Drosophila melanogaster: one gene and its partners. The protein of the gene in region 1 interacts with the protein of each later gene in a pairwise test. Each region holds a gene or a part of one and is shown on either strand. Other genes may lie near its edges. The genes, in order: CG10654, vnd, rau and gcm2.

Region 1 (6,180 bases):
GGGACATTAAATCGAATGCCACACTTGCGCAGCACAAAAAGCTGATTGACTACCTTCAGGTATAGCTAGTTTATATATATTCTTTTTAAGAGAATAGTTAATGAGATTAAAAACATTTTTGTATTTATATTTTAGCTCAAAGTTGAGGACCTATCCGCCAAGAAGAAAAAGACATTGGCGGACAAACTTTTCGGTTCTAGCCACACAAACAAGGAGAACGTGTCACCCAATGACGTGGAATCTTCCATTCTGTATCGCGCTCTAAAGGAGGAACTGAAGCGAGAACAAAAGATGAACAGCTTGCTGAAGGAGCAGTTGGCTCAGTTGAATGGTGGGATTTCTTTAGATTTCGCTTGATGTTTGTATCTAATTGTATATTTCCTTTAGGAACTGCAACCTTGCGCTCTCCACGCAAATCTGCAGCTGTTAATGGCGACTCCGATGCACCCAAACAGAGACCCGTAAGCATTGCTGCCTTGCCACGTTCTCCACAGAAGCAGCAGCAGCCCCTGAAGCGCACCACCAGCCAGGTGGAGCTGAAGACGACGGCGGAGAAACCGACTAAAGTAACCATTGAGAACCAGGCTCATCACCGTTTCGAACTGGCCCTGCAGGAGTCCAAGGTGGATGCCGTCAACTGTGTAGTTTGCGAAAAGGCCGTCGTTGCCGGTTCGCCGTTCTGGAAATGCAAGGAGTGCAAAGATGTTACGCATCGCAAGTGTCGCTCCAATGTTCAGAGCCATTGCGGATCCACCAAGCCGACTGCACCGTCAGCCGATGATCTTAGCAGTATTCAATCTGTCTCCAGCTTGACTTTGGATAGCGTAGATGTTGCGGGTGGTACAACCAGCGGTGGCGAGTACATTGGATCGCTGGTCTACAGTTCGGATGGTGCAGAAGATCAGGCACGGAAGGAGATCGAAGTGAACTGCGCCTTTGAAGTGGCCGAGCAGCAAATACTCCTATTGGGCTGTAACACGGGACTGTATGCGTATCACTTGGACTCGCAGCGATTGGTGCACATTTCTGGTCTCGAATCGGTGAGCTGCATGTCCATTTGCAAGCGCCTGGCTAAGGCTATAATGGTGGGCACAGTTGGCGAGAAGCTATATCAATGTGACTACCGCCAGCTGGAGTCACGCTGTCAGAGCTCCAGTTCGTGTCACAAGCCTGTGCTGGAAACGTCGGCCATTGAGCTGCCATTTGCCAATCGCACGCCATCGGAGAAATGGAAACTAGTGCTGATCTCCGATGAGGCGGAGAACGCATTGGATTCGGTGGCTATTGCGGCCACGTCCACTAGGATTGTCATCTTGAAGTACGACCTTAAGCTGCACATGTTTAAGCCAGTTCGAGCCTTGGACACGGCCACGCCGGTCACATCCATATTCTTTACGCGTCACTCGGCCATTGTTAGCTCGGATAAGTTCTACGAGATCGATTTGGACAACTATGCGGCTGAGGAGTTTGTGGATCTGTCCGATAAGTCAATGGAGAGCACTGCCAAGTGCCAGCCCCTAACTGCGGTGCGCATCTCACGACAAGAGTATCTGCTCTGCTTTGCCGAATATGGCGTCTTTGTGGACGAGTTTGGCTGCAGATCCAGGCCGTACGATTTGAACTGGGTCTATGCACCCACTGGATTTGTTTACCGCGATCCATTCCTATTCATATCGCACTATCAAAGCGTGCAGATAGTCCGTTTGCATCGGTCGTTCAGCAAGGAAATGGCCAGCGGGGATAACGCATCGGAGAATTCGGAATCCCCGGAACTGCAGCGCGTCTACTTGCCCCACTACATGTCCACGCTGCTGGCCAACAGCGGAGATGTCAATCTCTATGCCGTGGCCATCGATCAGAGGCCCTGCAATGGAACACAGAAGATCTACCATCTGGACACGATGCAGGCATTCAAGCAGAAGTTCAATATCTCCATGGAAACGCTGTCTTCAGTGGCCACTTCTGTGACTTTGGGCTCGACTGTCACCGGAAATAGCATATAGATGAAGGATATATATTAACTAAACGAATGGACAAAGCAAAATACTACAAACTGAGTAGTTGTAGTTATATCTAGGGTTAGGATATGCTATACATTTGGATTATTATTATTTTAACTTGTCAGAACATATGTTTTTTCACAATCTTTTTCATGTGTAACGATTGCCTAAAATCACATGGCAGAATCTTTTAAAAATTACTTAATTTACTCTTTAAATACTTTGTGCTGTATACACAAATAAAACTTGAGATTTTGATAAAAAAGGTAATTCATATTAAATTAATATATTTATTTTGATCACTAAAATATCGAAGCATATTAAAGGAAATATTTTTTAATTAATTAAAGAAGTCGCATAATATTTTAAATCAATTTTACTATGCAGGATAGCTTTTCGAATAGAATAGTTGGGGGCATGGAGTCGACGCCAAGCTTTTGGGGCTGATCCCACGCAGCTTTTCGGCAGCAGCTTTCAATGTCCCGCAATTCGAAAGCCCCGGAAATGGAATCGTGCTCTCCGCTGGCATTACTGCCATCGTTGGCTTGGCCGCTGGACGCCGGACTGCTGCACTGCCGCCGTCGCAGATTGTGTTAATTGATTTCAATTGGCTCCACGCCATTTGAGTGGCCCGTTGAATCTCCCGACGATGCCAGCAACGATGTTTGATTCCCAGCTGAGTTTGTGCGCGGGTCGCATTGTCGCCGATTCCACCACCACCACTACCTCCGGCATGGATGGATGCGATGGTGCCAAGACGATGATATGCCGCGCTTGTCTTGTGCTACTGGGTCCGCAGGATGCGTGTCACAATCTGGACAGCGAACAGGATCTGGCCAGCAAGTACTACGGCTGTACTGGAGAGGATGCCGTTAGGGATTTGCCACCCCAGTTGGTGCTGAAAAGCATCTGCGAGTGCTGCTATCAGTTGGTGCAAAAGTTCCACGACTTTCAACGCATGTGCGCAGAGTCCTTGCGCAATTTTGAGAAGCTGCTGCAGGACATCGACATCGGATGCCACAAACTGGAGGACCACACTTGGCACGACTTGGACACCCCCTCGGAGAGCAACGAGTCCACTAATCCGGAAGCCCAGTCGCACGCACCCTGCATCGCAGCGACGCAGGAGATTGTGAGTTTTATCTGGCCACAAGTGTGCCTGCCTCTGGCCGTAATCTTATCTAGAATCACATTGGGTGCTTCGCTCGAGGTGTGTTGCCTAGCAGCCAAGCAAAGACAATACTGCTCCCCATTCCCCGCCATAAACAAAAACATTTCGACAGCGTTTGTTTGTGTTGTACTATTTTTGTTTGGTGGGTGATAGCACTCGAAAAGGAGGCACGTCCCAATCTATTGGGTATTTTTAAATTTTCCACTAATAAAATTGGGAAGATGGCAACACGCCTCGATTTATGGCTCCTCCAAATAAGAAAGTCGATTTTAAAGGCCAGTTTTATCTAGAATAGATAAATGTGTTCCCTAACTTTCACTCATTTTAGATATTATTTATAGCGCCTTTAATATTTTTAGCATTAAAAAACTAAACTAAACAGATAAGTGACCGCCAAAAGTTCGGTTCACAAAATATTACTTTCATTTTATCATCTTCTAAGTCGAGCGATAAGATAATCTTAATAGCAAATTAAGGAAAAATTTCCACTTTAAAGTAATGAGTAAACATAATGTAATTCCTACCCTTACTACAAATTACTTAACTCAACCAAAAGCAGTTTGTTTTTATATGCTTAGACCCTTTTTACATAAAAAATTCCTTCATAATAGATATGTACAGAATTCCCACAAAAAAAAAAAAAAACCACCACCATTCAGTTTGCTATGGTAATTAAATATATAATACCCTAAATTTTCCAGGAGGAAGTCTACGTAATAGAGGACGAGTCAGCCAAACAGGATCTGGGCCAGGAGAAGCTATCCATTTCTAGCAAGTTGCTGGGTGCCAGAAAACGACGAGGAGTGCGACACACCCTCGAGTGCCGAATTTGCCACCGTGGCTTCTACAAACCGTCGCTGCTGGAGGCCCATATGCAGCAGCATGAGGGTCTGAGACCGTATACCTGCGTCCATTGTGCCAAGAGCTATGCCCGGGCCAATCTGCTGGAGTCGCACCTGCGGCAGATGCATAACAATGCCGACGCTGCGCGGATCATCTATGCCTGTCCGAGCTGCAACAAGGTGTACACAGCGAACCGAAGTCTCAAATATCACATGAGAAGGACGCACGAAAGGTATCACGAGTCAGAGTCCCCGGATGCGCGGCACATTTGTGAGGAGTGTGGCAAGTGCTTTGCGCGAAAGGCACATCTAACGCGCCACAAGATGGTCCATGGTAGCGTTGAGGGTCGGAGATACTGCTGCGAATGCTGCGATCGCAGATTCTACACCAAGGAGAACATGGTGGATCATCTGCTGCGCAAGCACGGCAATAAGAATCTGCTGCTCAGATGCAGAAAATGCGGACGCATTTTCCAGAACAGCGTGGAGCTCAACGCTCACGGGAGGAAACACAAAGCGATGGATGTAGTTCAATAATTCGTTTTATTTGTGGTTTCAATAACATCAAGCTAACACAACTGTTACAATGATTCGAATTACTTGGAATTTTGTTATGCCAGTATTGTGGGAGAATGCCGCATAATTGGAGATACTAAGACGACGCGAATGGTTGACGAATCGATGAGGCTGCCCTAAAATTAGCTAACATTCACATAATGGCCGGCGCAGCAGCATAGTCGCTTAAAAATCATCAGTACAAAAAAATGGCGATGGCGATGGCGCGCACTCGCAGTAGTTCTCAAAAAAGTAATCATGCGTATATAAAACAATTAACTAAAATTTATCCTTAAGCTTAAAGAACGGATGACAGTTTTAAAATTACATTACCAATACATTCATTTATCATTAATTTGTAGGGAGGAGGAAAGAAATGAGAATAAAAACCAGATTATCCGTCAATCGATCGACAATTACATAAGAAACGCACGGGGTCTTTTGCCAAATGAACTATCAGCATTGAACGTTGTTGAAATTGATCTGGTGATCCACTTAACTGATGGTACTGTGTTACGGTGGTGATTGATGATTGGTTTGTTGGTTGGCAGTAGGTCTTCGGATGAGTGGAGTTGCTTGCACTATATGTAAATAAATACGCCGCAATATGAGCATAGGATATATGACAACGAATTGCCAAACTCTAGGTGTCCTTGTGCTTCTCGTAGAAGGCGTCTAGATATTTTTTGTACTCCTTTTGGTCATTCCACATCATCGCGGCCTGCGCATTCAGTGGACTCTCGTTGTTCGGTTCGCCCAGCAGGGATTGTATGGACAGCAGAATGGTGCGCACATCGTACAGGGCCGACCATTTGTCCTTCAGTATGTCCAAACAGATGGCGCCCTGCAGATCAACATTGGGATGGAAGCAGGACGTCAGGAACTTCACCACGGGTGCTGCATACGGATAGGAATTGGGAAAATCCAGTGACAAACGATACGTTTGCCCCGAATACACCGTGTTCCGTGGACCCGCTATGGTGCCCACCCACTTGAAGATGTTCTCGCCGTCCGGAAACGCTGAGATGCCCCTCTCGTTGGCCATCATCAGGTTCATCAGTTCCTTGTGCAGTCTGTGGGTGAGTGTGAGTGTGTGTGTATATTGGCGGATTATCTAGGCTGCACCATGTGCTACTCACCTTTTGCTCACGGCGTGATTGTCTTTCACGGGCATGGAGTCATCGCTGTGCTTGCTGCCGCCGCCGCCTGCTCCACCACTTTGCTCGGGGCTGATATTCTGCGCCATGACTATATATCTACGTCTATATATGTAGGATGCTAGTGCTATCCGCTGTTTGGCTTTCAGTATGTGCGTGTAATTTAGCGCGCTTCGTGGCGGTCGGGTTTTCGATTCTCAATTGTGATTATATGTACTGTATAGTGGAAATTTAGTTTGATCGGTCGGAATACGCGTCTGTTGCTTTTTCAGATATTTTTTTTTTCACTTTTGTGTGAAAACAAAATGGAAGGAGAACGAGAAGAAACTGTGTTTGGGCACAGGGTTGTATTTCATTTATTTTTGGGGGGAGTCGATACGCTCTCTTGGCGTGGTCGAACGGTCACACTGGCCGAGAGATAACGGAAAATGTTTCAAAGGTAAGTAAAGATTATA
Region 2 (9,129 bases), on another chromosome or scaffold:
TTTGTCATGGGCATTGGTCTGATATCCAGGAATGGATAAATTTATGTCATTTAGGTATATATATGATTATATATATGAACTATGTACAGAAACGACTCAAGGATAAGTCCGGGAGACTGAGCGCTAGTAGGGGTTTGTATGTGTTTCAATTATTATTGTATATTCTTTTACTTGGCTTCACTGGGAATCTGGAGGCGTGGTCTTCTGGCTCATCGCTCCACGGGCCTGACTATCCACCTATCCGCCCCCAGTCCCGTGAATGCCAGTTCCTAGCAATATTAGGGCCACCAGGCGGCCCTCTGGGCGTGGGCGTGTGGATGGCCGTGTCCGTGGGCGTGGGCATGAGCATGGGCGTGGGCGTGAAGGCCGGCAGCCGCTGCAGCGGCATGTTGATAGGCGGCCGCTCCATTTAGGGCAACCAAGTGATGGGCGGCGGCATTCTGCATGGCGGTGGCGGTGGCTGATGACACGGAGACGCAGTCGGCTCCCAGTTTGGAACTATCGCCCAAGCAGGGCTTTCCGTTCCTCACCAGAACTGGAACGGCTACCCGACGGGGCGATGGCAGGGCACTGGGGTGATGCGGATGGGTGGCATGGCCGTGCAGTAGACCAGGATGACCCTCGTAGCCCTTCTCGTTTTGCGCCCGCTTCGTCTTGTAGCGATGGTTTTGAAACCAGATCTTCACCTGGGTCGGCGTCAGGCGGATCAAACTGGCCAGGTGCTCGCGTTCCGGGGCACTCAAGTAACGTTGTTGTCGAAACCGACGTTCCAGCTCATATGTTTGCGCCTTGGTGAACAGGACTCGTCGCTTCCGTTTCTTATTTGGCAGACCGTCGGATCCATTTGCATCCCCGCCGCCACTGCCGTCGGCGTCGTCCACGTCGTCGATATCCTCCTCGATGCCATCTTCGTTGAGGCTATCGTCGTGACCACTGCCTGCTCCGTTGATCCCCTCGGCCTTCAGGCTGTGGTTATTGTTGTTTGTCGTATTATTATTGTTGTTGTGTAGGGCATGGGCCGTCGGAGCGCCTCCGGCACTTCCATTACCAGAGGATCCATGGAGGGTGTGCAGGGCGTCGCCCACGGATAGTGCATCGCTATCGGCCGACCGGCTGTAGCTCTTGTAATCGCCGGAAAGGGCAGGCGATGTCTGGCAGTTGGAACCAATGTAGGTGTACGACACTTCCGAGGTAACTGGGGAGGTGCTATCCGGACTGGCGGGCTGCTGGGTACCTGAAATCAAAGAGGAAATCAAGGTTTTGGTTAATGTGCTAATTCTTCGTAGTAGATATATGGCTAAAACCGGGAGAAAACTCCCTTCTTAATATGCTGCTAATTGAGGAATAAATTGCTTGGGATAGCCATTTATTTATTTGCATTTTTCACAATGGTCCTACAGAATGGAAAGGCAATGGCAGGGTGCGAGCCCTGGGTGGGAATTTGTCAGCAATTGAGAAACCTCTTTAGCCGTAAATTAATGTAGCGACACACCCCTCCACATCGTCCAAGTGATCATGCAGAATTCGGGACAAAAGGGGGAAGTCAGTATCGCAACTACGGCAATTGGATTAGGCGCAACATGAAGCTGTGGTCGGAAACGATCCAAATGTCAAATGCCAGATGTATGCACTCCTTATGGTCCGCAGCGTCAAATCAACCCCTGCCCATCCCCTACGAGCTTCACCCTAACAACGCCAATTAGGCGGAGACAAACAGAGATCGCACACAAATACATACAAAAATACATGCCTAGGTGGGTATTCCCTTGTCGTCTACCTGAAACGATCGCTTCGATCTCTCGCTGAATGACTGCTGATCCTGGGCCTGTACTAAAAACCAGCAACCAGGATACTAATGGGACAACGACACAAAAGCCAGACCTCAAACACATCAATGGTAGCCGGGTCTCTTCCGGTTCGCCCCCTTTCGCAAGAGTTCCGAACTTCCAACAGATAGTGATTTAGTGATTTATCGCCGGGTGTGGCTATTTCTGATATTCTGGGGCGGGATCTGCGGTTGCAGAGGTATTAGAAGTGGGCTTATGCCAGTATTCAGGCAACTTCAAACGAGGCATGTAACTATAGAAAATCAAAAAGAAGCCCTTTAGTTCTTCCTAGCTTTCGAACTTTTGGATATAGTGCTGCGAAGGCAGCATTCCAAAGAATCGGAACGCGTCCTATCTGCATTTCTATTCCTATTGCAATGTATTTCATAAAATGTCTTCTAATGTGTGTATTCACCTGCCCGGGGTGATGTCCCCGTGGGACATTGATAAAACAACAAATGCAAGGGTCGTAGGAGCTCCTAATGCTCGCCTATCAGCTCCCACCGAGCTAGCCGCATTTGCCCTGCCACGGAAGCCATGCGCTCACCATGACAACTCAACAAATTAATAACTTAATATAATCAAAATGACTCTTCCTCGACTCCTTCACAGCTGTGGAAACTCCCAAAAAAAGAGCAGAAAAGAGAAAATAAAAAAACGGCAAGTGGGCAGCAGCTATAATTTGTAGCTAAACAATAAAGGAATAATAACAGAAGTGGGAAGGGATGAGGCGGAAGTGCGTGCCATAAATTTCCAGGATGAGAAATGTTTGGGCCGCAACAACAAGAAGCGATCGAGCGGGCAGCGATTGAATGTCCTGGCCGAAGGACACGAAGGACGTCAACTGCCAGAAAAACAACAGGGCTAATCCTCAAGTGTGAAGCGCATACAAACTATTAGTCATGATTAAAGGGGAAGCCCAACCCCTGCTCCTTGATTCCCAGTTATATACCCATTTCGATCCGCAGTTAACTGCCAACGAAAATAAAACACAACAGGGCCAGAATTAAACAAAGCTTGTCACACCCTGGAAGCACGTGAATCCGTCGAGTCCACAGGGTATGCAAATACAGCTGCCTCATCGCTCGACTGCTTCAACTCTCTGGCTCTCGGGAGCAGTGAGTGGTTAGTTACGGAACAGTATCATTAGTCGGCCAGTTAATCGGGGGTTAAATGCAGTCGAAAATTGTAAATTTCTTAAAGGGAGCTTCCTGCGGACTTCATTGATGAGTCTATTTTGAAACCAAGTTAATTCGTTGCTCTTTTGCCTACCCACGATTCAAAAGGATATTTGTTTGGGATCCAAAGACTTGCTTACAACCTGCCATTTAAGTGTTGCTTCTTCAAAAAGCCAACTCTAACTTGGTTATTGATATGGCCAGGAGCTATCTCCTGGAAATGGAGCAAATGAAAATGGATACATGCGTATCCATTTATGAGTTGAAACATTCGCTCACCGTATAGCTCGTTCTCCTTGATCCACGCACTCCTGCCCGAGTGCTGCAGCATGGTTTGGGCCATGTGGTGGTACGAGGACATCTCGTCGCCAAAGCTCCCCGGGAAGTTCTTGGGCAGGTTGGGCAGATATTGGCCGGCGGCCACAGCAGCCGCAGCCGCTGCATTGTGGCTGGCCAGCAGATGGGCGGCGGCTGCATTGGCATGGGCGTGGCTTTGGGCTTCGCCGCTCTGATGGTGCGCCAAAGGGAGTGGGGCCACCGCCTGCTGATGGTGCTGCTGCGGGAGGAGGAGGTGAGGGTGGTGGTGCTGCTGGTGGTGCGGGTGCTGTTGCTGCGGATGGCTAGGAGGGGCGTGATGCTCGGTGGTGCTGTGGTGATCCGCTTCTCCCGCTCCTCCCCCAGTCCCGCTGCCATTGTGGTGCTCGTCCGCGGAAACGCCCGCTGGCGTGGGCGACAGCGCCGAAGGCGAGGTGTGAGATCCCTGGCCGCGATGTCCACTGGTGGACTCACTGGCCGAGTGGTGACTCAAATCGCTGCCATGGTGGGCGGCAGCAGCGGCGGCAGCTGCTGCATTCTTCAGCTCAGAGCCCTCCAAATTCAAGATGTCCGATATATGGAAGCCAGAGCGTTGGGACGACGGCACCTTTGCATCGAATAAGCTGCAAGGAGATCAATATGTTAATTCTAACTGAACTTCAACACTAAAAATTTGAGTTAAATGTTTATTTCTCATTTCAATTGAGCACTCGCCTACAGTTTTAAAGAAAAAAAGGCAAAAAGCATACCAAAGATGAGTTGTAATAGTTTTTCTTGAGATTCTGTGTAGTTTCTTAATTGTCCCGGCAAATTGTCATATAATCGAGTGATTAATGACTCCCCGAGTATAAAGATGGCTCCTTAGAGGACGTGGAACGATTTTTCCCTGTTTCATGCTTATTGCAGCGACATCCTGTGTCAATCGTGTGAATGGCCGGAAGGTTTAACAAAAGGAGGTCCCTGTTGGTCGGGATATGCAAAGGAAACTACCTGCACTACCTGTAGCGCTCTGACTTTCACAGATTTTTGCACTTGCCGTTGTTAAGAAGATAAGGAGGTGGGGGGTGTGCATCCTGCAGGCATGCTTCGGAACCGAAAACGCGCACATTTCCCCCGGAATTAACTTTGAATAAGTGCACCCAAATCGCTGGATTATTGACACCTAGTCCCGGTCAGACCCCGAGTTTTGATTTGCCTAATACCATCAACAATTAAACGCAAATCCGCCTCGTAAGGATCGCAGCTACCTGGTCGGGTCAGTGCAGGTCAGCACAGGTCAGCAGGGACTCTTTACGGGTCGAAACAGGTCGTGCCACATGTTGGCGCAAGTTTGCTTGCTTCCGGTTTTCCCATTTCGAGTTTTCCCGAAGACCCCGACTCGCGAATTTCCCACGCTATGGACAGGCTACACGGGCATTCCCCGTCCTCCTGAGCGGAAATCCCATTGCCAGACAGTGTGACGCCAGTATCTCGAAGGCATCTGAGTCCCATGTCTGTCGTACACATGTCATTCCCGATTGGGGTTTCCCTGGCTCTCACCTACGGGAATTTCTAAGCCAGGGTCGAACAACAAGCCAGAATTTCCCAACCGCCATTCGCCAGGACCTTGAGTACTTGCCAGATCAAAGAGGCGGGGAATTATACCCTGTGTCCTGTACTTGCGCGCTGTGCCCGCTTGGTTAATTTAAAGAGCTACCAGGATTAGCCGGACAAGTCCATCAGCTATATGGGATCTAAACACTAATATGGAGGCAGAGGCTCGCAGGGTGTGATTTTAAGTCGGAGCTTAGGCGAAGGCAATTGCAAAGTATGGCTGGTCTTGCGTATTCTGCAGATTCTGCTTTCAACGCCCAATCTTCCAAATTATTAGATTAGGAGAATTAATTAATGGTCTTGCGTATTCTGCAGATTCTGCTTTCAACGCCCAATCTTCCAAATTATTAGATTAGGAGAATTAATAGAAAGACATAGAAAATTAATCGGGAACCCAAAACCTTGAAAACCATATCTGTTTTTTACAAAGTGGTCAGCCATGAAAGGCAAACGTATTGTCGGTGGTCAGTAATTTTGTTTCAATCTGAGGCATGTCCTTATTATCCATATCTTGGCCAGATCCATGCCATCAAAGTGTTACCAATGCTTAAGCGTTTATAAATAGCCCACAAAACAGAGGTCATAATTAGAAGAACTAGAATGGACTTGTGTCAACGTATCACCAAAATATGCTTTTCGTAACCAAGACATATGAATCATAGGTTTGTGTTCACCACTCCAGAGGTATCAATGTTTTAATTATTCCATTGGAATCCTTGTGCTTACCCAGGCAAAGCGTTTCGCAGGGCCGCCGGATAAAAGGCGGCTGGTAGGAGGGCGTGGTTCCACGGCGGCAGCAGGATGGGCGACCAGGGCAGAAACGGGGCCGCTGCTGCGGCGGCCACAGCCGCCGACGATGGAAGCATAAGACTACTCATGCTGTGGAGCCCCGGAAATCCGCTGAAGGCGGCTGCACCCGTCGGAATGCGGAGCTGTTCGGGCGCCAATCCGGAACTGGAACTTGTGTTCGTGGGCACGGTGGTGCTGGCGGTGCTGAAGACTGCGGCGAATCTCTCGTGATCTCTGTCTCGCTCGTGCCGTTCCTGCCGCTCCTTGCGATCCTCCCGGTCCTCTCGATCCTCACGCTCCCTCTTCCGCTCCAGCGAGGGCGTTGAGGTGCGCAGCGGGCGCTTCGGCGTGGCTGGGGAGGACGGACTCACCGTGATAGCGCTTTGGGGCGATGCGGGCAAGCTGCCAGCGCTGCCCAGACCGCTGCTGTTGTCCCGCTCGCGATCTCGATCCCGCTTTGAGGGGGTCCTCTCCAAGGACGCCGACGTGGTCATATCGCTTTGCGATATCGGGGAACCACTGTTTGATTTACTACGCTGCGACGCGGGTGGCGGCGTGGGCGGACTTTTGCGTTTCTCCGCCACTTTGGAGCTTTTACGGTGTTCGGAGCACGGAAAAAAAATATGTTTATGTGTAGTTACTGGGTAGCACTGCGATGAATTAAGCGGGTATCCTGGTAGGGCAACTTAAATTCCAGACATAGTTCGATTTAGGCTTAAGTTTAAGTTTATCACCGGGAAAGTTCGATAGTTCAAGGGTCGCGAGTCGTTTCTCGATTTCTCAGTTGCACGGGTCCGCGGAGCAGCGCACTCTACACATTCCAAACTGAAGTGTCATCAACAACTAACGAGGCATCAAGAACTCAACACGAGTCCAAGTCGCTTCAGAACAGCCAATAACCAAAACCCAACAACCAACGGCAGAAAAGTACCAGGTCGTATGCTCGGGGTGTCTTTGGGTATCACTATGTATGTGGTGCATATCTGTATCTGCATCCCTCTGCCATTGGGTACATAACGCAGATACTCGGATAGTCGCACACACACACACACATACACAAACACACACACGCACACAGCCAGACTGGAGAGACTCTCGGCTTTGTTGGGCGCGCTAAGTGGCTTCTTATGTCCTTTTCAACAAGGATACGGCAACAATGTGAGTGGCCTATTCAACCACCGAGAGAACCAACCACCATTCGTCGCCAGAGCGAGACGTACGATGTGAACCGAGTCCTTATGCCGCACGTCATCCCGCTCTAACTCTTTCCTGTTGCTTTCTCTGCCGCTCTCAAGAGTGCCACTTGAGTGAGAGTGTGTGTGTGCTGCAGCCTCTGTGTATGTTTGCTTGTGTGTGCGCGAGAGTGAGTGTGGATGCGAGGCCATTGTAGCGCCTCACGAACCTCCTCAGGCACGTCGGATTGACGTTCCCAGATAGGGATTCTGGGATTGGGCCGTTCTCTTCCAGCAGTGCTCTGCACTTGATGTTGTCAGCATTCCCCGCGTCATTTAATTGTATTTATCATTATCAGCTCTCTGCAACTCTGGACTTCCGGAGCGGGAACATCAGCCCCGACTTGTGGCGCCTATGCGGTGGGTCCAAGGAGAGGACAGGACAGGGCAAGACATGCGATTGTGACCGGCATTTAGCACGATAATATCAGATGGTGATATCAGCCATTATCCTATTGAGGAACGAGGGCGATAAGAAAAATTTTCTGGAATTACGCTCTCGCCTTTTCTATATGTAGTTGGCTATTTAAGAATCAGATCAATTCATCATTTAAAATCCCAGTCGGGTTGTAATACTTTGAGATTTTGAGTACCAACCATGATTAGATCTGGGGAGGATTGATCACATATTTGTGATTTTATATTAGTCAGCAACGAAATCTTATTTTGAACCACGAACTATTATTTTAATACTTAAAAGGCGCACTGCGAAAACCCTTTTAAAGGCATTCTCACATTACCATACCGGTGAAAGAACGTTATTTTTGCGAAGGCATTATTTTCTTCTGCCGTGTTAGTGGTATGCTATTATACTTGGACATTTAGTTTACTTCACGGTACGTTCTTTGGGAATTGCAATAAATTTCTTGCGTGCAACGGAACTGTTATAGACCACTTTGGCACTGACATAGGGGCCTTATGTACAAGGAGTGTCGCTGTTCGTGCAATTTGAATTTCGATTTCATACTCGTAAGCCAACTCGTGATTAGTGCAGATCCTTCAAACGCCAATACATGGCGCCGTTCCTTGAGAGGTGGCTTCGGGACACACCCCGGACACTCACAGATAGGGAGAGTGCGAGCGAGGAGGTCGAAAGTAAAGTATGGGAATATACATAATCAGCACGAGCAGTAAACGACAGGACAGACTGAACTGGGGGTATCCGCCCGAGGCAATTGAAAACATGGCAAGAGTCCGTTGGGGCTGGCCCCATTTACATATGGGCTGGGGGCTATATACATATATCAGAATATGCATATACATATATATATATATATATATATATATATATATATATATAAATATATGTTGTGTATATGAAGGAAGCTCCATGATCCCTATCCACGAGCATCCGCCCTCTAAAAGTGGGCACCCCACTGTCGCTCATGACTTCGCACCATTATTCTCCCCATGGGGGAATGGAGGTGGTAAGTGGAGGGGGTAGAATTTTATCTTGTAATAACCTCTGCCGACGACGACGTCGCCGTCAAGTGGGCGCGTCATGGCCGCCTGGCCAATGGGAAGAGCGTGCGAGCAGGAGAGTTATACCGTGCGCACCGTGCGCTGACGCGCATGTTTGGGAAATTTTGGTTACGCCAAAGGACTTTTCGGGGAAATTTCTCCCATGTGCGCACGCCCATCTTCCCGGGCGTTCGTTGTTGGCCATTGTTATTGGGCTTAATAATGATGTTGCATTTAATATCAAAGTAAAACCTTTGTGTGCGTCGCCGTTGTTGTTATGGCTTAGCTTCCGCAGGAAGTTTTAGTATCTCATGGATTTATCTGTGTTTGTGTGGAGCGCTGGCATTCGAATTACACACGAATTCAATTCGATTCCCGCAAAAACTCGTTTGTTTTTTATTGCCCTCTGCTCCTTTATTTGTGTATTTATTTATTTTTGTATGCATGCTTCTGTATTTTCCGCACTTCAAACTACTTTGTTTGTGCTTATTTCTAAGTACAAACAACTTCAATTGTAGCTCTCGTCCTTGTCGTCCTCCTGCTCGGCCTTTAGGGATTTGGGCACTGCCTAGTTTATTTTTATTTTTTTGTGAATACATTTTCAATATATTTGCGTTGCAATGGGTGGAGGTCCACCGACAGCAGAGGGCTATTTGCGGCTGACATACATAAACAGCTATAGAGTTTATGAGAAAAGACAGCAAGATGTTTTCTTCAACTTAAAAGTGTCTACTT
Region 3 (6,548 bases), on another chromosome or scaffold:
GATACATTTCGCAGCTAGATTTACGGCCTAATGAAAGTTTTACGAGGTTTTGCTCGGTTCATAGCGAAAGGTTACCCAGCTTTTGACCCTAATGGATCATCTGAACTGCTGGAAAAAGTGATAAAAGCGAGGTGAAGAAACTCAATTGGACAGAAGAAAGTTCCAGATGAACTTTTTCTGCTCGTAAAGCAAAGTATGGGGATCAGCGAAGACACCTGCGCTTATATAATGTAATAAAGGGATATTAATCTAGGACAATCTACTAAAATGTGAAAGGTATTTCCCAAGACAAGATGTTCCTATCATAAGAAGACTGATCATCAGTACAACTTAATCTCTAAGCTCTTTTCGCAGTAACCCATTTACAATGCAAATTTGCTTCTTATGACTAATACTACATAGTTTCGCTGAAAGCCAAATCAATACGGAATCACTTAACACACAAATTCCCCAATGCCTAATCGTTTCGAATTATACATTGTAGTGCTAGAGAAAACCAGATGCCATAAGGCGTTATAATTGTTTTACGCCACCATATCTCACAGGTTGCCGTGCGCAAACAAACAGTTAACAGGCTTTGTGTACCTTGGTTTTTTGTTAATTAATTGTTAACAAAACGAAGTGTCAACAAAAAAAAATATCAACCGAGAGCGGCTGAGAGAAAAACCACGAGTAAAAGCGCCAACTTCCAGTTTTTTGCTGACTTTGTGCCATCATTTATATTAAAGAAGTCGTATATTATTTTTTCATTTCGCTGCTGAACTTGTTTATTGAATTTACCATTTTGAAGCCGCTGACTCAGTACGATTTTCGCTGTAATTTAGCCGAGTTAGCGAGAAACGTTAAACGAGGCTGCAGTGCATAATATATAACCGAAAAAAACCCCCGATTCGGGCCAGCATTCATTTCAATTGAATTTTGAATATTTCGGAATGCTAAGCTCCAACATCAAATTGTGTTGCCAACGCTCGAATAAATTGTAAATCAATTTAAGAATCAACAAGAGAATGTACGACTTCGGGTGTGAAATAAAATAAAATAGCTTAGGAAAATTGCAGTAAAATAAATTGTTTTATTTTATAGCCGGAATAATTTAGAGTAGAACTTTTACATATATGTACGCAAAAATCCGGTTAGCGCACATTTATGTCGATTGACAAATGCTATTGTCTTTTTATTGCCAGTGCGGGTGTGTCTTTGGTTAGATGAAGAAACAATAGACTTGAATGTACATAACTGTATATGGAAGTCAAGCAACTTCCTCAAGCTATAAAGCCACGCATAAATTACCGAGGAAATTATACAAAATGGTTTGTTCAACCATTCACTGGAATGGAGCTCTTAAATACAAATATGATAGAAAATGGCTAAAAACTATAAAAGCGAATTGAGATGTTAGTGCCAAGATCTCCAGCGAAAGATAAACGATCCCTGATGCAGACCACCCTCGACTTCCTGCCATCGATTAATCAATAGAACTACTTCCTTTTAAAACGCCCCTCGCAAGTACTACGTGTGTGCAATGTGAAGACTAAATGAGGCGAATATCCTTTCATGGCTCACGTATCCAGCCCAATACAAGATACTTCTGTTAAGCACAGATTTGGTGGTACTACCTGTTCCGAAATCGAAGCAGAAGGCGCTAAACTGAAGGAAACCGCACTTGACAGTAGCACACGAGCAGGTAGGCCCAAAAAGGTAATCCCTCTCTCACGTAGTCTTCTGAAATTCAGGATGGGATCGCAGCACGTTGAGCCCTCTGGGGCGTATTGTACTCGTGCATTTCCTGATTTTTAATTAGCCAAATAGAACCTAACAAAGACAACAAGTTGGGCCAAACGGTCTGAGGCTACGTGCTTGGTATGTGAAATCTTTAGCCCCTCAGTGTCCACAGGAAAACAATGCTCCAGACCGAATACTCCTGTGTGCGAGAGGACAGGAAATTAATTCGATATCAATACTTTTCTGCGGTTGCGTTGAAAATTGCGAGAAAGTGATGGTAACCACCACCTCAGGCTAGCAATTTTATAATCAAAACCAACCGCTTTTGGACATCGGGATTTTCCCCACTCGTAATCATGGTTACACCGCCGTCTGGTGGACAATGCTAACTTATTATTGCAACTCCTCATTAGATGATATTATGTGGAATTGACATTAAGGAGTTTGACAATAAGCACAGCAAAGACAAATGAAATGATACACATGTGTATCCGATTGGGGGGCATTGTTAATCGAAAATCCCCAATGAGCATTGTTACCGAACTGAGTGATATCATTCATCTGAGCTTGAAACAACAGAGACGGATTTTCTCACAGAAATCTACAAGATATGCATCAAATCAAATGTTTGGTCGAGACCCAAAGTTTGTGTCATTCATAATCGGCCAACAAAGCAACTCGACTAATTAAGAGAGTCACTCGACCAAGAAATTTACATGAAATGTTTATGCATTTCCAAAATAGCTGGGAAGGTCTTATGTCCGCCTGTGTGGCCCTCTAATGGAAGTTTGAAATATTTGCATAAAAATTCAAAAAAATGCTGAGCAAATTGTCGAGTTGCAGATCCACGGATGTACACTTGTCGGAGGCCAAGAACCGGACAATGATGCTCAGCAATTCCGTATTTGCATTGTAATCCCCCTAGATGACCTCGGGAATGGAGGAAGTGACTGGCCAACAGCTTGGTTACCGTTGCGGGTTCAATCAACTCCTCTGGCCAGCGAAACTGTCTGGATCTAATCGCGCAATTCGATAATTGAGTGCAGGAGAGTGGGCTGTGAAAATTCTGGACTTTCGCCAAGGCGAGAAGAAACCCAATCGACCGAACTAGATCTCGTCTAGCAATCAAACTTTCTAGATGAAGAGCGAAAACTGGACCAGCGATCGGGCGCTTACCTTCTAGCGTATGATTTGTAGTATCCAAATGTGATTTGTGTGTAATCCCAAGACCTTAAGGCCCGAGACTTTGATGGATGGCGGTATAAGAAGTCCGGAGTGCGAAGACAAGACAAGGTCGCGTCGTTTTTCTTCGGCTGCCGCTTTTAGGGCCCTTTGGCTGCTTGGCATTAAGTTATCAAGCACTCTACGCCACTTCGCATTTCTTCGCGTATCCAAAGGTGCGTATGCGTACGTGCTCCCTGCTGGGGAAACAGGTGCACTCAGGAAGCAGCTGCACTGATTTTTATTTTAGCGTTGCACTTTGAGTTTCTATCCGAATTTGTTCACTTTTTGTACATATGTATATTCCTTTGGCTTTCGTACCAATTTTATTTTAGATCTGGACGCACATTCACTTTCGTTCGAATAGGCTCGCTACCGTTAGCCAGTTCACTAAGAATTGGAAATTTTCGAGCGGAGCTAATGTAGATTGAGTACCGCACTCGGCAGTGTTTACAGACGCACTGAAGCCGCACGGCTAGCGTCTGCGAGGTCTAACCCGCTGAGAGGAGTCGCATTCAGATACCTGTTTTGTATGTGTGTGTGAGCTGGCTCTCGCGCTCTCGCCTCTCTGCACTCAGAAAAAAACTATAGCTAGCTTGATCAGCGGAAAGCAACGCAGATACTTGCAGTTAGCAAGTTATTTAATAATTTGATAACTAATATTTAATTTTTTTAAGCTGACTATAAAATTCTCTCTCTTCTTATCTTCTACAGGGGACTTTAATTCAACTTGAAATGAGCCAAGCTGATCTGATACCATGTGAATAGTATGAATGTTAGGTGAATGGATTTTGGGAAAACGCAAATCGTTCATAATGGAGCCACTGGGGGTGTGGGTTGGCGCTTCGTGGGCGAGTGAGCGGGCGAACTAGTTCTGTCTGCGGCTCGCTCTTTTCGGAGAGAGGAAAACTGGTTTCCAATCAGACTTAGACTTTGCCGGCATGTGGGTTTCCTCATGGAAATCTGGGGATGGGGATTCGCGGTCGAGCGACGCCGGATGGGCTTGGGCAGAGCTACATAAATGACCAAAGTTGAAGGGCGAGGCACGGCTAGAGTTTACGGACTTGTAATAAATCAGGGAGTTTTCAAAGCAGAAGACTTTAGCTAGTAATCGTATGTATATATGTGTTCACGCTAGAACGGCATTAGTAGTTTATTTAGTTACTAAACAACAAGAAAATTCAAAAACTGTACTACCTTAACAGTTTCCACAACAATCAATATGAAGCTGATGCATTTTTAATAGGTAGACCTTAAGACTCCTTCTATAGTATTCGATTAACAGGATCGATTTTGTAACTTTAAGTCTGGCGAAACTAAATCCAGGAAATAAGCCCTGAACTTTGGCAGTATGTAAACTGAAAAGGTGAAAGAAAGTTCAACATTCAGGCGAGATATTCCATTCCGGCAAGTCGTAGATTGCTTCGGTTTGATGTTTTTTAGACCCCACAGAAACAACAAAGAAAAGCAAAAGTTTAAAAATTAATTATGACAAAGTCAAAAAGTCCAAAAATTATTAATGAAAGTGAAATTATCATCAGCGAAGCGAAAAACAAAAATAAATAACAGATTTTTTGTTGCTCGATAATTTGCGAATGAAAAGGAAGGAAAAAACCAACCAACTGATGCGCCAGTAAAATTCATTAGACTTTGATAGATGAACTTGATGAGTCGATGTCGCTGATGGACGACGGACTCGCAGAGTTGTGAAAATCTGAGCGAAAAATGCGGAACCAATTTTATTTGTTTGCTTTTTGAGAGTAATTTAATTAGTTGGAGCACGGCAAGTTATGTTTGCATGTGACCCGGGGCGGTCAATTAAGAATTCATGAATCAGGCCCTAATTAGAGGTCGCCGTTTAACAAATTGATACTGGTTTTGTATTCACATTGAAGCCGAAAGATCTGTTCGAAGGTGTTAATAAAGCCCAGTCAAATTGCTTGGCTCCTTAGAACATTCTCCGTTCTGACTGAAGGGTATCAAAGTTTGTCCTCGGGGCACAAAAAGTTACATCTTGTAGCTAAGTGGCATTCCTCTGACCAACGGTTAAATATTTGTGCAGCACTGTGCGGACATGAAAATGGTATCATAGCACGCTTTTCACACAGCCGTGTGAAAAGTACACACCAGCCCAGTTTGAGGGAGGGCAGCTCAGACTCGGATGCAGGTCCCCTGCTCTCCTCCAGTCCACCAGACTCCAGATGAAGATGAAGTCGCAGCGAAGGTATGCTCCAGTTACAGAAGTAACAGTGTTTGTTCAGCTCAAATACAGTAGAGCCTACGAAACTGTTCATGACGGCCCATCGAAAAAGCTTAAAGTAAAATATTTGATGCCCTTGCCGTCGAACTTGTAATTATATGCCACGGAATTGAAAACAAAAGCATATCATATTTAATATGAAACAATGTTTTGCAACAATCTTCCAAACACAAACAGAAATCTTTCGAGTTCTGCCCTGGTAATTCGGCCTGTACGCGCATGGAGTTGCAATTGCGGACTCAGCGCGGCCGGCTGCAAGTTAATGGCTAATGGTCAGCAGCTGCCGCAGCCAAAACAGACGTGCTCCAATTGTAAACAAAAATGTTGGAGCTCGGATCGCCCAAACACACTCGCCTCGAGCTGCACTTGTGTTGGTTTGTATCCGTATCTGTATCTGCATCTGCAACTGTATCTGCATCTGCATCAGCATCTGCTCCGGATGGCAGCGAAGTCTGTCAAGTGGGTTGCGATTCCGACTTCCCCCTCGGTGCAAAAAGCACCGACTGACTTTTTGCGTGCTGAGCACATTTCCTATAAATAGTAGCTGTAAACCATAAATAAAAAACGAAAAGAGGCAGAGAAGCGCAAGGCGAGGGCTACTCTATTCATGCCATCTATCAAGTTGCAGGCACCCGAGATGAAGTTTGCGCTCAAATGATTTGTTTAGACGGCCTGCCACTAAGTGGTGGTAGCCTGTTAAGGCCGCTTTGGTTGTACCGAAATGATTGCACAGCGAATTAGTTGGCATCGGAGTAAAGAGCTATCCGTTTAAGGCCTAAACATCACTTACCCCAAACGAGATCGTCTCAATTGGTGGATATAAATCAAGTTCGGTTAGCAAAGCAGCTGATATTGGCTGGCCGTTGGCTTCAGTATCCATGTCATAAACAAGGACTTCCGATTGCGGCGTCTGCTCAAGTGGCAAGTGCCACGAGCGGCTTAGCGGAGGTCCTCATTAAAGCCGAAACCGAATAAAACACCAAACTTTCAGCAGCTGAGGGGCGACAGCTTGCAGACCCAAACAGGTGGCATCGGCAGTTGGGTCAGAGACAAGTCCTGGAGTGCGGGTCGAGGGACGGAAGGGCGGGAGGACTTCCGCCGATGTCCTGGCCATTTCGTAGCCAGGTGGCCTCGCCTTCGCCAGGTCAAGCGAAAAGGCGTCAAGGATATCAAGGATTCATAACTCATTTACCGACCTCTTGATGAAACCACTTCGATATCAAGTTCTGCTGGGCGAAGCAGCTAAACGGAGAATTACTTGCAGTGGCTTGAATTCATAATGATAATAATTAAGTTACAGAAGTTTATTTTACCAACGTTAAATTTTATATATATATTATAGGTA
Region 4 (8,069 bases), on another chromosome or scaffold:
GTCTTTGCTGGGTGCCACAAAGTCACACTTCACTGTGGTCCGAGATTCGGCTACAGTCGAAGAAACAATTTGGTCGAATGTGTCAACAATCAAGTATCTGTGCAGTCCGCCATAGGGGTCATCAATATCGACGGATGTGTAGAAGATTTTTCTTAATTAGGATAGCGCCTCACTAAAGCTTTTCCCGAAGCTGTTACCTATATAACATATTTCAGAAAATATAGGTAAAACATAAACATATACATATAAACATATACAACTTCAAGCATTTTTCTTGGTGCAGTACACCAAATTAATTATTATTATTTTTGGGTCGAAAGCTTGAAAACCCATTACACCAGTTTTTATTTATTTTAACAGATCGATGATTAATTTGATGCGCCAAAAATGAAATTATGGAAATATTTTGGAACACAATGGCTTAGATGCCCCAATGACAGGCCCTTCTTGGAACAGCTGGAGCTTGGCGCTCTCGGAGCACGCGCTCATTAGAGATCGGTCCGATCACAGCGTGACTCTGGATCTATGACTTCGAGGTGGGACCACAGCGGGTGTGTGTGTGTGTGCCTACATTAAACTATCCATGCTTATAAAATAATGTTAAGCAATTAATTGCGAAAACCCCAAGCAGCTGCAAGACAGAAAACCGAACGATAAGCCGGATCGCGATAGATACTGGGGTAAACTGTTTAGCTAGTTGTGAAGTTGTGCATTTTCTACCACTTTCTGGTTGGTTCGTATATATGGTAAATGTATTTGTCACCCGTATCATTTGCTGTGGAGCGTTAAAGCGACAACAGCAGCAGCGGCAGCAGCAGCAGCCATTTCCAGGCCATCCGCGTAGTTACGCGTCTCCAGGCCCAATCCCGTATATATCTGGCCATAGTTGCAGGGGCCCAATTCCCTCCTGCCCCTTTTTAATTACGGGTCACAGTGGATGAGCGCAGGGGCGCAGCAACAGTTGCCACTGGTCGGTCGCTGCCACTTTTGTTACCATTTACATTTCCTGTCAACGGCATTTTCAATTTTCACTTTAACGCCTATTTGCTCCTCCATTTCTTTGCCTCTCCCTGTTAAATTGCTCTTCTTGGTCTGTTAATTGTGAGTGTGTGCTACCAAGTGGATGCATAAATTGTATTTTATTTTTTGTGCCCTGTAACTTTGGCCCAAATGGCGATGCGGGCTGATCAGGTGAAAACAAAAGACGCAGCAAGCATTAGGCCCAGCAATGCCCCCGCCTCACCAAAAAGTTCACCCTCTGGCTGATCTGGCCCTGATATTGTTGCCACTTGTGTATTCTCATGTTGTGGCTTTAGGAGAAATAATTTATTTGGCCAATAACCAGAGGAAAGTTGCTGTGTTTGGGGGGGAAGAACATACTTAGGTATCATTAGAAAATTTTTGAATGTTTTAGTAAATGTTTACTAATTAAAGAAAATTCAAAACTATATTTATTTCATAGTTAATATGAACAGACAACAGTCTAATGATTCAAATGCCGTTCCTTTCTAAGGCGACCCATGAAACAGAATACATATTTATACATACAAGTGACTCAAAATAAAAAGCAATCATGGCCAGTTATCGGAATGTTCAATTTACAATACGTGTTAAGCGGCATAGATCGGCATTACCCAGTCCATTAATCATCCCCCTAATCTGGCGAATATTCCAAACGATAAACCCCTGAATATCTATGCTCTGCCAAAGGTTTCCACTGCTTTTTGTTGGCATATCCTTAAACAGAGTTAAACAGAACAATGGGGACTGATAAGGGGCATAATAAGTAATTAAATTTCTGTGATGCTTATCGAGTATGTAGCCCCCACCACAGAAATTCCTCCATCTCCATCGCCGGAACTTCAAAATCTCTCTCTTCTCTTCTCTCGAAAGAGAGGAAGCCTATGTGTGCGTGTTTATCCGACCAATCGGAGGCGAGAAGAGACGACTGGAACTGGAAGCAACTGAGACTGCCTGGAAGGCAATGTATCTGACGGATACGTTTTACCACTCTGCCAGCTGCGTGGAGTTTTTTGGCAAATTATGCGGGTGGCTCGTCGCTGTATCGTCGCTTTCCCCGCTTTCCCGCTCCTCCGCCCACTTTCGAATATTTTGTTGGTTTTTGTAGGTGGAGCCAGAGCCATAATACCATTCCTTTGTTGACAAAACTTGGCACTACTACTCGCTCGCTGAAGTTTGTTTTTGTCTGCTGCTGCCGCTGCTGCTCTTTTGTTTTTCGTATCTGCCAGATACGCGCGCACATCCCGCCCTGCAGGTTGTATTCGAGGTTCAGCGAAAAGGTCGTCATTCTCACGGTTGTTTCCCATCGTCGGCGTCGCGTGCGCAATTCAGTTCAATCCAATCCAATCCGTTCCGAGGAGCTTCAACTAGCGACGGCTATCCGCGAGATACAAGTGCCCAGTGGATACAAGTGTCGCCTAATTGGATTACAATGCTCAAGTGTTGCCTGTTCGCAGGGCTTTCGAATCGCGGAAAACTCATTTAGGAGCAGTTGAGGTTTTATTGGATATTTTTAATTATACCACCTAATACCTGGATTAAAGAAGCTGCTTCAATTGGAATATGGTTGTTATGTAAGTTCTAAATAGTCCCTTTTTCGGAGATTTTCAAATGTAAATTCGAAATTTTATTGCCAAAAAATACTTTTAATAGGACAATAATCATATACTTTGTTCTCGAACCTTTTATCAAATATAATGGTAATTATTGAAATATGCTTAAAATAGGTTTCACTAAGTTTCTAAATTATTCTGCTTGGAACCCAAAGGAATATGGATTAAAAATTAATTTGCTCACATTATTCAAGGCATAGAGCTACCGAAGAATTAAAAAGCTCTCAGTACAAATGTTTCAAATTATTGCTGATCTGAACTGTGCCGACACGCGTTAAACCCAAGCCATCTGCGTAAGTGTTGAGCTTCCAAACACCTCAGATCAATCTCGGATGAAGAATGGGCCACAAATCAAACGATAAAGAGGCAGCGGGGGAGGTCAGGGAAAATGTAAATGATTTCAAACGCTTTATTATCACGCTGAGCGCGTTCCACAGCTTAGTTAATGGCACTCCGGTCCAGTCCAATCCGCTCCAAAGAGCCGCGGGGTGTGCCTCGTATTTTGGATGTTGGATTTCGGAAGGGGGATCTCGAATCTTGGAAACCGGCGGACCACACACAGTCGTAGGCGGAGCGGCGCTCGAGTGAAAGGGTCAAAGAGCCGATGATGATGATGATGCCCCCCCGGCCCCTTCGATTTATAGAGACATATTTTCTAGGTGACAAACTTATTATGAGCCCTGGACAGAGGAGGCCCAAAAATACAGATCTCGAACGAAGTGAGACGCTATCAGCATCAGATAAGCCCAACTAACGAGCGCCCCGAAGTGTCGAGCAGTCAATTTACGGACCCAAAACAAAGCGAGCCACTAGCCACGAACAGGTTCAATCGGGGGAAACCAAAGACCACCAGGCGAACCGTAGCACAGGTATTTGGTGTGTGGTTCTTGGTGCTAGATGCTGTGCAACCTGCTGACTTCCAAGTACACATAAAAACACTCAGGGGACCGAGGCGAATCGATCCATCGGCTTCGAAATCGATGGAAGACAAATTTATTGCTAATTGCAGAGCTCGCTCTCTAATAACTCCCACACATGGAGAATCTCGGCTGAGGCCCTCCATCGAGTCTAGCGATTCCCAGCTGACTCACGATCGGAGTGTCGGTTTAATATGCATCTCCGCCTCCTCAACTGGCGCTCGAATTACGATTGTGGCCAGCTTGGATTACCTGGTGCACAAGATTTGGGGCTAACGGTACCAGCCCTCTAAACTGGGCCTAAATAACCATGCGTTTCATGAGGCCCATAAACCTGGCAAACGTTTCATTTGATTGGTTTGTGTTGGGTTGGGATGGCCCCCTACGAAACAGTTTAGGGCGCAATTAAGATAGGATTTCAATTCCTTAAACGATGCTTAGGCTTTGGCGATAAAGTCACAGTTAAATGGATCACTTAAAGTTTTTACTCGATGTAAAGAGTTTTAATGTAAATAAATTCGATTTAAAAGTTAATGCTGTGACTCACAGTTTTGCCTTAACTTAGATTCCAAAAGGGCAGTGGTGTTTTTTTATTATGTGGCTACTAGAAGTGATATAAAAATCTGAACTCAAGTTAAAGTATGTTTTGTGCTCTTTGGCAAAATTCAAATATAATAATATAGTATTCTTAACTATGAATATAAAATGCAACTTATTATATATAAAATCCTCTACAGAAATGGCTACAGCTTCAAGACGCAGCAACTTCTCACACAGCAACCCGATCATTCTCAGCTTACCCAGTTTGTCCAGCCCCAAAGTCAGAGTACGCATTCGGTGCATCCGGGTCCAAGTCCTGGTCAACAGCAGGCGGGTGGCTCCATGACCATGCCGTCGTCGTCGACGGGCAAGGGAAAACGGGAGTGGGACATCAATGATGCCATTGTGCCACATGTGCCGGACCAGGAGTTCGACGAGTTCAACGAGTGGAGCGACGGGCATGTGAGGCACATCTATTCGCTGCACAACGAGGAGGCCAAGAAGCACATTTCCGGCTGGGCCATGCGCAACACGAACAACCACAACGTGAACATTCTGAAGAAGAGCTGCCTGGGCGTCCTGGTCTGCTCCCAACACTGCACCCTGCCCAACGGATCCAAGATCAACCTGCGCCCAGCCATTTGCGACAAAGCCCGGCGGAAGCAGGAGGGCAAGGCGTGTCCCAACAAAAGTTGTCGTGGCGGTAGACTAGAGATTAAACCGTGTCGCGGTCACTGCGGCTATCCGGTGACCCACTTCTGGCGGCACTCCGGCAATGCCATCTTTTTTCAGGCCAAGGGAGTGCATGATCACCTGCGTCCGGATCCGAAGAACTCCAGTGTTTCCAAGCGGGCCTTTGGACGTGTGCCGCTGGCTGGAAAGTCAGCCAACGGATCAGTCGCCAAGAAGTCGGTCATTGCGGGTCTGGTCAAGCAGGCGAAGGTGAGCTTAGATAGACATTCATTCACCCGGGATGTATCATCTTAACCATTCTTCTCTGACGACAGCAACAACACAGTCTGATTAGCAAGGTTCTTAAGCGTCCTGCTGTCAGCAATCCTCTGGCTCACACCGCATTGGATATATATCAGTATAATGGTAGGTATATAAAACAAGAATATTTAAAGATTTCTTTTACAATTTGTATCCCCCATTAGCCTGTGGCAAGTGCGCCGGTTATAGCCACTGCACTTGCAGCTACCTGGATGACAGCACCACGGCGAGGAGCCATCAGTTGTCACAATCCTCGAATTACGGCACCAATTCTTGGCCACTAAGTGGATCCGAGTCATCGGCACCCTGCGAGACGGCAGCTAATGTGTTTACGGTCAACCACCAGCACATCACCTATAACTATCCCATCTACCATGCAACTCCAGCGGCGGCCACCGCGGCACCTAGTAAATCTCCCAGTTTGCCCTACGCCTGCAGCATTTCGGAACTGGCCGCATACCAGCAATCCTCCAGCGGGAACAGCTTTGCGATGGGTGTTCCCGTGCACGGACACACACAATGCCAGGCAGTAGCCTATGATTCCAGCCCGCAACTGGCCACTCCGGAACCGGAGTTCATCAACTACTCGCAGATCAAGCATTTGGGTGGTGGCGGTGGTCAGGAGGAGATCAGCTGCAAGGCCGAACCGGGACCCACCATTAAGTACAATGCCACCGTGGAGACGCAGCCGTATGTGGAGGACAACTACGATTACTACTATAGCCCCAAGGCGGAGTACGAAATGCAACAGCACCACCACCAGCAGCAGCAGAGCCACCAACAGTTCGGTGGAAATCAGACAGCGGGACATCACTACTACGAGAGCAGTAGTGGCTATAATGGAGTCAGCTATTTCGACACAGGAACTACTACGGCACCAGGAAATACTGCAACCGGAAATGGCCTGGAAGTCGGATACGGCGGCTACTACGATCACTACACCAGCTACGAGCAACAAATGGCGGTAGCAGGTGGATTTGCCACTGCCGGAGGATCCACTGCGCCGACAGTGGCCGCGCCCCCTGGCCATCCACCGCCTCCACCACCACCGCCCACGCTGACGTACCACCATCACCATCACCACCACTTGCACCACCCAGCAGCAGCTACAGGCCTAGCCCCATCGGTCACCCATTGAATAGTACTTAACCAATCCGGACACCGGAGGATTACTCATAGTCGATAGCTAAGCATAGTAACATAGTGTTTAAAATAGTGGTGAAATCTTAATTTCCATCTGTACGTGTAGTGTTAAACGGTTTACCAATTGTTTTTCTCGGCAAATAAATTATGAAAAGTGTTGATTTGTAAAAGTAAATGTATTTAATTTAAGTGCGTAAATATAATTTCTTATTGCGCGACCAATTCAAACATAGCTAATTTTCAGCGGTCATGATGGTGCGGTTCTTGAAATCAGAGATAGATGTCGCGCTGTAAAAAAATTGTTGGTAAGAACCATGTAAAATGTAATGGTAAAAACCATGTAATGTAGACAAGCAGGTGCTCACTTAACCATAACTGTAGTAATTTTAGGACGCATTTAATGATTTGTAGTTTAAAATCGATAGATAGTAAGATATACTTTAATACGAATGATGTTTTATAATTGGCGGAAACATTTAAAGAAAAACAAATTGGCTGCCAAGACCCAAATTTTGTACCGCTTACATGGCTTGCAGTTTTTTTTTAAAAAGCCTCCTACCGGTAAGAAACTGAACTACTGCAGAGTTGCTTTACGATAAACTCACAATGACACACAGACACAGACACACAGACATAACCAGACTAAAGAGAATAGTACTACAAGTTATAATCGCTATCTTCAGCAAGAGGATTTCACATTTAAAGTAATCGCATAGTGGCCAGCAAAACCTATCGCATAGATGTGCCAATCGGTCTATCCATTCGAAATTCACCTTCACCAAACGCGACATACACATATGCAAAAAGAGAGCGTATAGCAATGAGAAGCGTGAGCGTGAGTAAAAAATCTATAAAAGCAACTGCGACGTGCTCATTTTGGTAAAAAATTTAGCTGTGCTGCAAAGAGCTGCCCGAGTGGTAATTAAGTAACTTTTGTACATTTCTACCGGTTCCGTCTCCACATCTCCCATCCAACATGGTGTACCAGGTGAAAGATAAGGTGAGTCACTTCAACCGGATCTATGGACGCATCACATCCGTCATCTATTGGGTAACTCGATAGCGCTACCCTTTGACCCCTCAGTTCCAGTTACACGTTTATTTTTTCGCTCCGGACTTTGAAAATATGGCATTGGAAGCGGCATTCCAATTAGCCACTTACTTTGAATGATTGGATTCGCTACGCTTTTTGCCATACGCTCTCCCGCGAATAGAAGGAACTCACGTTCGGTCTAGACGAGCGAGAAAGCGGAGAGCAAACGAGAAAGTTCCGAATAGCAGCACAGCGAAATGATAATGATATCATCCCGTGGACCGCAAAACGGGTCTCAACGGAAACCGAATTTTGAAATTGAAATATTCCGGACCGAGCTAATCGGAAATAGTGCGAACAAGATATACGTACTATAGAAACCACATATGTACGGATGTGTGTGCGACTGGCATGAATTTGCAATTCATTATCGTGGTCGAGGCCTGGTTTTTTGGTTAGAAATATTTCGAATAGTTGCTATAGCACAGGGTGTGCTCTCCACACATAAGTTGCGCGCCATGCAAGTTGATCCAAAGCCAAGAAAACAAAAGACGCGAGTGCGCGGGGTGAAGAACCGGTTCCATTTCATGAATACAAAGTTACGTCAGGAAATATTGGGAAGTAAATACGTGAAAGCATGCCTTCTTATTTTATTTCTCAATATTAGTTTATTTATATTTGTATACACACTTAAACACTATCAAACATTGACTCTCGCGGTCTAGTTCTATACAGCAAACCACACAACAATAAGCTCAAAAATCAAAAAATGCTTATCGAAGGCATAAGGAATCCACGAAAACATCAAAA

The links.
Region 2: the proteins of CG10654 (region 1) and vnd interact in a two-hybrid assay, tested with the Drosophila melanogaster proteins (one large-scale study listed by BioGRID).
Region 3: the proteins of CG10654 (region 1) and rau interact in a two-hybrid assay, tested with the Drosophila melanogaster proteins (one large-scale study listed by BioGRID).
Region 4: the proteins of CG10654 (region 1) and gcm2 interact in a two-hybrid assay, tested with the Drosophila melanogaster proteins (one large-scale study listed by BioGRID).

Annotation. Positions count from the first base shown.
Region 1 is NT_037436.4:12,504,180-12,510,359, reverse strand, and holds CG10654 (uncharacterized protein), read left to right. Parts: upstream 1-2,519; 5' UTR 2,520-2,649; coding exon 2,650-3,210; intron 3,211-3,872; coding exon 3,873-4,550; 3' UTR 4,551-4,986; downstream 4,987-6,180. Other genes in the region: sti (sticky), read left to right, coding at 1-59, 136-331, 388-2,003; vih (vihar), read right to left, coding at 5,212-5,641, 5,708-5,814.
Region 2 is NC_004354.4:588,461-597,589, reverse strand, and holds the start of vnd (ventral nervous system defective), read right to left. Parts: upstream 6,549-9,129; 5' UTR 6,196-6,548; coding exon 5,639-6,195; intron 3,943-5,638; coding exon 3,284-3,942; intron 1,235-3,283; coding exon 279-1,234; 3' UTR 1-278. UniProt on the Drosophila melanogaster protein: Probable transcriptional regulator involved in the regulation of the proneural AS-C genes and the neurogenic genes of the enhancer of split complex. Could specifically activate proneural genes in the ventral-most neuroectoderm.
Region 3 is NT_033779.5:5,876,090-5,882,637, forward strand, and holds the start of rau (rau), read right to left. Parts: upstream 3,410-6,548; 5' UTR 2,899-3,409; intron 1-2,898.
Region 4 is NT_033779.5:9,606,315-9,614,383, forward strand, and holds gcm2 (gcm2), read left to right. Parts: upstream 1-2,247; 5' UTR 2,248-2,583; coding exon 2,584-2,594; intron 2,595-4,287; coding exon 4,288-5,032; intron 5,033-5,097; coding exon 5,098-5,188; intron 5,189-5,247; coding exon 5,248-6,221; 3' UTR 6,222-6,392; downstream 6,393-8,069. Other genes in the region: Trx2 (thioredoxin 2), read left to right, coding at 7,203-7,226. UniProt on the Drosophila melanogaster protein: Transcription factor with a minor role promoting glial cell differentiation and a more significant role in hematocyte differentiation.